Kluyveromyces lactis: one gene and its partners. Each later gene encodes a partner of the first gene's protein in a complex. Links are inferred from orthologs where the notes say so. Each region holds a gene or a part of one and is shown in the gene's direction. Other genes may lie near its edges.

The links.
Region 2: RPP1B (region 1) and RPP0 share a complex: the UniProt entries of both Saccharomyces cerevisiae proteins name them as parts of the large ribosomal subunit. The link is inferred for Kluyveromyces lactis from reciprocal best matches to the Saccharomyces cerevisiae genes RPP1B and RPP0.
Region 3: RPP1B (region 1) and RPL38 share a complex: the UniProt entries of both Saccharomyces cerevisiae proteins name them as parts of the large ribosomal subunit. The link is inferred for Kluyveromyces lactis from reciprocal best matches to the Saccharomyces cerevisiae genes RPP1B and RPL38.

The regions. Positions count from the first base shown.
Region 1 is NC_006042.1:543,799-545,973, forward strand, and holds RPP1B (ribosomal protein P1 beta), read left to right. Parts: upstream 1-1,198; coding exon 1,199-1,513; downstream 1,514-2,175. UniProt on the Saccharomyces cerevisiae protein: Component of the ribosome, a large ribonucleoprotein complex responsible for the synthesis of proteins in the cell.
Region 2 is NC_006038.1:532,397-535,341, reverse strand, and holds RPP0 (60S ribosomal protein uL10), read left to right. Parts: upstream 1-1,335; coding exon 1,336-2,271; downstream 2,272-2,945. Other genes in the region: ribonuclease P/MRP protein subunit POP6, read right to left, coding at 202-663; KLLA0_B05885g (uncharacterized protein), read left to right, coding at 2,604-2,945. UniProt on the Saccharomyces cerevisiae protein: Component of the ribosome, a large ribonucleoprotein complex responsible for the synthesis of proteins in the cell.
Region 3 is NC_006039.1:1,609,253-1,611,415, forward strand, and holds RPL38 (60S ribosomal protein eL38), read left to right. Parts: upstream 1-1,289; coding exon 1,290-1,526; downstream 1,527-2,163. Other genes in the region: transcription factor IIF subunit TFG2, read left to right, coding at 1-636; KLLA0_C18238g (PEX28-32 family peroxisomal membrane protein), read right to left, coding at 2,124-2,163. UniProt on the Saccharomyces cerevisiae protein: Component of the ribosome, a large ribonucleoprotein complex responsible for the synthesis of proteins in the cell.

The DNA.
Region 1 (2,175 bases):
TCAAATTGAGAATTTTATTATTGACGAAATTATGAAAACCAAGAAAATGGATACAGATTTTTTTTTTATCTATCATGTCAGCTTAAAAACGCCCGTTGGTAAGCGCTCAAGGAAGAAGTGTTTACTTGTTCATCTTCGCCGTTTTACAGTTCTTTCTTATGGAAGCGTTGAGTATATGCGTATTGGCTCGCGTATGCGCTGACACCACACGTAAAGTTTTTGGTAATATTGAAAATGAGATTAAAAACAAAACTATAATCATGTAATTCAATTTTAATATATTAACATTCATTATACTATAATTAGAAATCAATTTCACTCAGGATTACACAATGGAATGAACAGTCAGTCCTAACCTTTCGTAGGTTGCTTCACAGTGATCCAAGGGAAACACTGAATTGAAGGAAAGATATTATTTACAGTAACTTAGTAGAAGTTACCCTTTCGTGGGGAAGTGAGTTCAGTCCTATTGAGATATCTAAAATTAGTAATCCGATATAGTGTAACGGCTATCACACCACGCTCTCACCGTGGAGACCCGGGTTCGACTCCCGGTATCGGAGAAAAAATTATCCTTTTTTTATTATCACTTTTGCATGTTATAATATGTAGCTCGGGACTGTTCATATGGTGCTGTCATGATTGTGTGTAAAACCCAGTCATCTCACTTTAAATTTCTCATTATAATATATTCTGTTTTTTCCATTAATGGAAATAAATCCCACTTAACACCCATACACTACACCCATATTGACAGTTCTGCCCTGAGATACGCATAAATTATATTGTATTTCTACCGAGCTTGACAACACTTTTTGGGGCCGGTGGTAGTTGAAACCCGTGCTATGGGATATTCTGACGATTGGCAACACGTAGCTGTTCCTGTTTTAAGTGTTTTAGTGTCTCTTACATCTATGGCGTTGTCTTGTACATCTTCTTCTGTGTAAACTTACCCTCCCTTGTTGTCGTTTTTGGATCAACAAAACTTCAAATCTTGTTCAGTTTTCCAGATTTTCTGAATTTTCACCGAATAATATTTTTCACTGGAAAACTAGCTAGATTTCAATAAGATATTGAACGTTTAATTATACAACACGTATTTATTGATAAGTTGTAGTTAGGTTGTTTGTTGAGGTTCAATTGCTTGTTGTTGCGATTTTGCTATAGATCCACATATACACATCATACCTAACTAGCAATGTCTGACGCTGTTATTTCTTACGCCTCTTTGATCTTGGCTGATGCCGGTTTGGATGTCACTGCCGACAACTTGTTGACTTTGACCAAGGCTGCCGGTGCCTCTATCGACAACGTGTGGGCTGAAACCTTCGCTAAGGCTTTGGAAGGTAAGGACATCAAGGAAATCTTGTCCGGTTTCCACGCCGCTGGTCCAGCTGCTCCAGCTGCTGGTGCCGGTGCTGCTTCTGGTGACTCTGAAGCTGCTGCTGAAGAAGCTCCAGAATCTGAAAAGGAAGAATCTGACGATGACATGGGTTTCGGTTTGTTCGATTAAACGTCAAAATATAAAAAACAAATAAAACAATTCAACACATTTTCTCAAGGAGCATTCCTCCCTCCCTCGAATTTCCTTTTAGCGTCATATTAATCTATTACTTACCACAGGTATCGTCATCATGAAGAAATATTAGAAACACATTGGCAAAAATACTGGCAGTTGGGACATACTACACTAATAAACAGAGCATATTTTGGTATCTCATCTACTATCTGTCGATACATCGAATATCGATTTTCTCGGAATTGGTACAGTTTTTTGGATATGTCATTTCATGTGTATATATAATTTGTATTCGTATTTCTTCTAGATATATATCATCTGTTTGGAATGGACCATATCAGACTTTGTGGAGTGTTTTTGATTCCTTAATATTTTTTGCGTTATAATATATATGAGATATGCCTGTGTACCTACATCTGTACAGAAATCCCCTTCTTTCGAATTGGACCCTGTGCGAACTTTACTGTGTAGAACTCTATGTTAAGCTTTCTTCCATTGTTAAATATACGTCTGCCGAATTGACATCTGAACAAAAAGAAAAATGATAAGAATCACCCGTAAACTAGTGAAGATAATATAGGTTTCTAGGTCACGTATTCAGTTCGTTAGCCTGTAATTGAACTATGCGTCCGTATCCCTTAAACGTGCCCATCCTT
Region 2 (2,945 bases), on another chromosome or scaffold:
CTTGCTTGCCTAATACAGATGAAATATAGGTCGAACATGGCAATTGCGATATTGTAGCTATTTACCAAATAAATTGGGTACGATATTTTTTTTGACGATCGGAATTTGTTCACTGTCCGCCCTGACGGATCACAAAGGTATATACAATATGTTTTGACTGGAAGCGTTATCAGTATACTTTAAATTGTGTCAACGTTGAAGTTACGATTGTTTTGTGAATTTATTAAGGCTTTTGACTTCTTGTTTAGTGAATAAGGTAATAAGTATAGGCAAGTTGACTTTTCTATCCAATAGTTCATTACGTCCAGCCTTGATTTCAATAAACGAGTCTAGTTTATTAAATTGATGTAGTGCTTTCCCGTTTTCAGTAGTCTTGAAGATCTCTATTATCGAAAGTGCTTTTTGTACATGAACTCCATAAGCAACAAGTACGAATGTATCAGCAGTGATAGCTGCGAGTTGATCCACACATTGTTTAATATTGGAGTTTTTACTGTACGAAATAATTGCTCCTACAGATGTCTCAGACGCATTGTTCCAACCTGCACTTCGCAGGGTTTCTGGGATGATTTTTTCTTTGATGTAGGTCGAACATTCTACGTAGGTGGAAGGATCTATGCCTTCTACTTCAATTTCGTTATATTTTAGTTTGGAAGAAGCCATCGTTGTTGCTTTGTAGCTAATTACTCAACTAAGGCGAGTTTCTCATCGATTGAATTATCAATACTCAATGCTACGATAACTTGGGAAGTTATTGTAGATTTCTTTTCGACGAGATGGGATGAGCATTGATACGATGAAAGCTATTCTGCGGACTGTTTACACCCTTACATATGTAAAAAATGTCAACACAACACCCATGCACCTTGATAAAACTCCAAAGGAATTAATTTCCTCTTTGACTAGTGGTCACGTGCATTTAAACAATGCAAACCCGTTGTATTAAGCAATACAACGTTAAAGTATTAACAAGTCCGGCATATGGATTGAATCCTCAGCACCAGATGGTTTTCAAGCGTAGAGGGTACATCCTGATACCATTCACTCAAGCTCCTTCTTTTTTATAATATACCATATGAGTTACACCTATTTCTGTATGATTAACGGATGCTTGTTTGTTTTTCATGTGGGCCTTAATTTGGAAATTGGAAAATCTCAAATTTTTCATCGCTGAGGGAAACCAAACTTGAAAAATATTGAATTTTATGATAAAACGTCCTTTACATATGAATATACATAATTGGATGTTAAGTACTTGATTAGATTTGTAGTTTGTATATAGTTTACAAGAACCACAGGTACTACCTTAAACATCCTATCACTAAAAAAGTCGAAATGGGGGGCGTCCGTGAAAAGAAAGCTGAATACTTTGCCAAGCTAAGAGAATACTTGGAAGAATACAAGTCTGTCTTCGTTGTTGGTGTTGACAATGTGTCTTCCCAACAAATGCACGAAGTCAGAAAGAACTTGAGAGGCAGAGCTGTTGTCTTGATGGGTAAGAACACCATGGTCAGAAGAGCTGTCAGAGGTTTCATCTCTGACTTCCCAGACTACGAAAAGTTGTTGCCTTTCGTCAAGGGTAACGTTGGTTTCATCTTCACCAACGATTCCTTGCAAGATATCAAGGAAGTCATCATCGCCAACAAGGTTGCCGCTCCAGCCAGAGCTGGTGCTGTTGCCCCAGAAGATATCTGGGTTCTCGCCGTCAACACCGGTATGGAACCAGGTAAGACTTCTTTCTTCCAAGCTTTGGGTGTTCCAACCAAGATTGCCAGAGGTACCATTGAAATTGTCTCTGACGTTAAGGTCGTTGACGCTGGTAAGAGAGTCGGTGCTTCTGAAGCTTCTTTGTTGAACTTGTTGAACATTTCTCCATTCACCTACGGTTTGACCGTCGTTCAAGTTTACGACAACGGTCAAGTCTTCCCAGCTTCCATCTTGGATATCACTGACGATGAATTGATCTCTCACTTCATCTCTGCTGTCAACACCATTGCTTGTGTTTCCTTGGCTGCTGGTTACCCAACCTTGCCATCTGTCGGTCACTCTTTGATCAACAACTACAAGGACTTGTTGGCTGTCGCTATCGCTGCTGACTACATCTACCCAGAAATTGAAGAATTGAAGGACAGAATTGAGAACCCAGATGCTTACGCTTCTGCTGCCCCAGTTGCTGCTGCTTCCGGCTCTTCCGAAGCTGCTGCTGAAGAAGCTCCAGCTGAAGAAGAAGAAGAATCTGATGACGACATGGGTTTCGGTTTGTTCGATTAAACACCTTATAATTATGGAAACAATAACAATTAAATTTTAAATTCACATATCGGTTTCAGATGATCAATCTGTATCTATAAGTTTAGTTAGTCTTTATTAATTTCTATCTTAAGCGCACAAATCTTATCGCATCAAATTATCGTGTCTTCATGGCGACAATTTATTTGTTTTTTGCCTGTCTAAGCGGTCCGCTCCATAGTAGTGTAGGTCAGATTATTGCTAATATTTGAAGAAAAACTGACGTCGGACACAAACTAGATTACCGTTCACTAACAGTTTGGTCAAAGTTGATGGCATAGCTTAGCAACTAGCACACAGGCGGTCTGATTAAGATGTCTTTATCGGTGAGGAGTCAAAGTCAAGATAATAAAGTCCTCTCAGATCTGTCTGAGAAGAAGTCATTTTTCAAACCTTTCCAGCAAGATAAGGATCTTGATGATAATCTAGTTTCTTTCGACCATGAAAGAGAATTCGTACAAGATCCTACTATTGGATCTAGTATCAAATTGGATGGTTCAGATGTGATAAAGTTTTCAGTTCGTGTTGACGAATCTTTCAGACTAATTTACGATAAAAATAATAATGCTTTAAAAGATGGTTCCAACACTCAAAATAAAAGTGAAGAGGCAGACAGTGAGAATATAGATATCATCGAAGGGGAGTTTTACTGGAAA
Region 3 (2,163 bases), on another chromosome or scaffold:
GATAGATACATCCCGTACGTGAAGACTATTCCGAAGAAAACTGCAGTGACGGGGAAAGTGTACCACGAATGTCAAGTGATGCCCTCGATAGACGATCCAAATTACCATACAATTGTGGAACATAGAAGACAAATCGTTAGAAACATCCACAAACCAACGGTTACGGTGCTTGACCAAACTCCTGGTGTCACTATGAGTAACGCCGGTATGTCGATGAGATCCGACACTTCCAAGTTCTTAAAAGTTGGAAAGGAAAAGAAGAACAACGCAAGGGCTATCCGTTTGCCAAAGAAGGAACTTTTGGATCTATTGTTCAAGTTGTTTGATGAATACGATTATTGGTCCTTGAAAGGTTTGAAGGAGAGAACAAGACAACCAGAAGCATATTTAAAGGAATCGCTAGATCAAGTTGCTATGCTTGTGAAAAAGGGTCCGTATGCCTTGAAATATACTTTAAAATCGGAATATAAAAAGTTGAAGGAAGCTGAAAGAGCTGCTACGCTTGGTGAATTGGCACAACACGCTGATCCAGAACAACAGCAGCAGATTCAAGACCAATTTGATCAACAACAACAACAGGAGAACGAGCAAGAGGAGGAAGACTTGGAAGACGTGGAAATGGAGGATGTGTTGTAGAACCCTTCAAACATAGTATATATATATATATATATATATATATATACACATAATCATGCCCCACCGGTTATCTAGTAAATGAATGGATATCTTATTCATGATGCTGGCATGTCTAGTCCTGTGATGTATTCTTGTGACCTGAACCAATAGTAGGATTAAAGAATTCAAATCACGTGATTAACAAAGGACTGTCCATTGTTAAAATAACACCCATACACTCCAAACACTGAAAAATAAAAACCCACACATCCGGATACAAAACGAGAAAATTCTCAATTGGGTAGTATAATACTCAAAGAAACCCAAAAAATCTCTAAAAGCCAACCTCCTGACACCCACACACCATCAACTAAACTTTTCACCAATCTCATCGACTGTGCTCATTGAGTATTGTGCAATTGGCAAGCCAGTAAACGTTTAGTTTCGAACAACTTTCGACAGTTTTAACGTTTTAGATTTTAACATTTGTCGTTAATAGTGGTGTTTTGTATATGTCCATTTAGTGTTTTTTTGATGTTTAGCGTTTTTTACATTGTATTATCGGTTCTTGTTTAGTATTCTTTATAACTTTTAATTACAGTTTATTAACTCTTTTGTCTTAATAGTTTCTGTGAATCTCCAAGCATCAACAACTAGGAAGTACATTAACAAAAATGGCTAAGGAAATCGCTGATATTAAGGAATTCTTGGAATTGATCAGAAGACAAGATGTCAACTCTGCTACCGTCAAGATCAACAAGAAGTTGAACAAGAACGGTAAGGCTTTCAGACAAACCAAGTTCAAGCTAAGAGGTTCCAGATACTTGTACACCTTGATTGTTAACGATGCTGGTAAGGCCAAGAAATTGTTGCAATCTTTGCCACCAACTTTCAACGTTAACAAGTTGTAAGGGTAGTCTAGAGAGACACTAATACTTTCTTTAATACCATATCAACTGTTTTTTTTGGAAATTCCACCAATCGTCTGTTTCAACCCATGGTGTGGGGTAAGTACTCTTATTGAATTGAATTTAAATTGAATTTGAATTGATTTAATTACCAGCACTTTGTACTGGCAATTTTTACCTGAGGAACGAACCATCCAGATTGAAATGAACAAACTCGTCAAATAAGTTATAATAAACGCATACTTTTTATCTGCATTCTTTCATTGATGAGACGATAAGATTACTACTCTAATGATGATAATACAGCTTGTATTAAGCGTCCAGTGGTAGGTTTTTTTTACCTGTGTTAATTGTCTTTGCGAGCTTTTAAAGTTTTATTTTGGGCTTCACAAGGAAAAATGACTGAGGTTATACACAGTATGAATTTTCCCTGGTATTATTAGTACAAGCTCTGTTATATCGTCATTATCACTGCATGATTATTATCTCATCTATTTTTTTTATTTGTTTTTGGTATATATGAGTATATAGGTGTGCTTTAAGCACGCTATTCGATACGAGTTGGAAACTCAGGGGACAGGCATACTTCGCTGTGAAATGCTACCTTGGAGTATCGTCGGAAGATGCAAGATTTGATTCG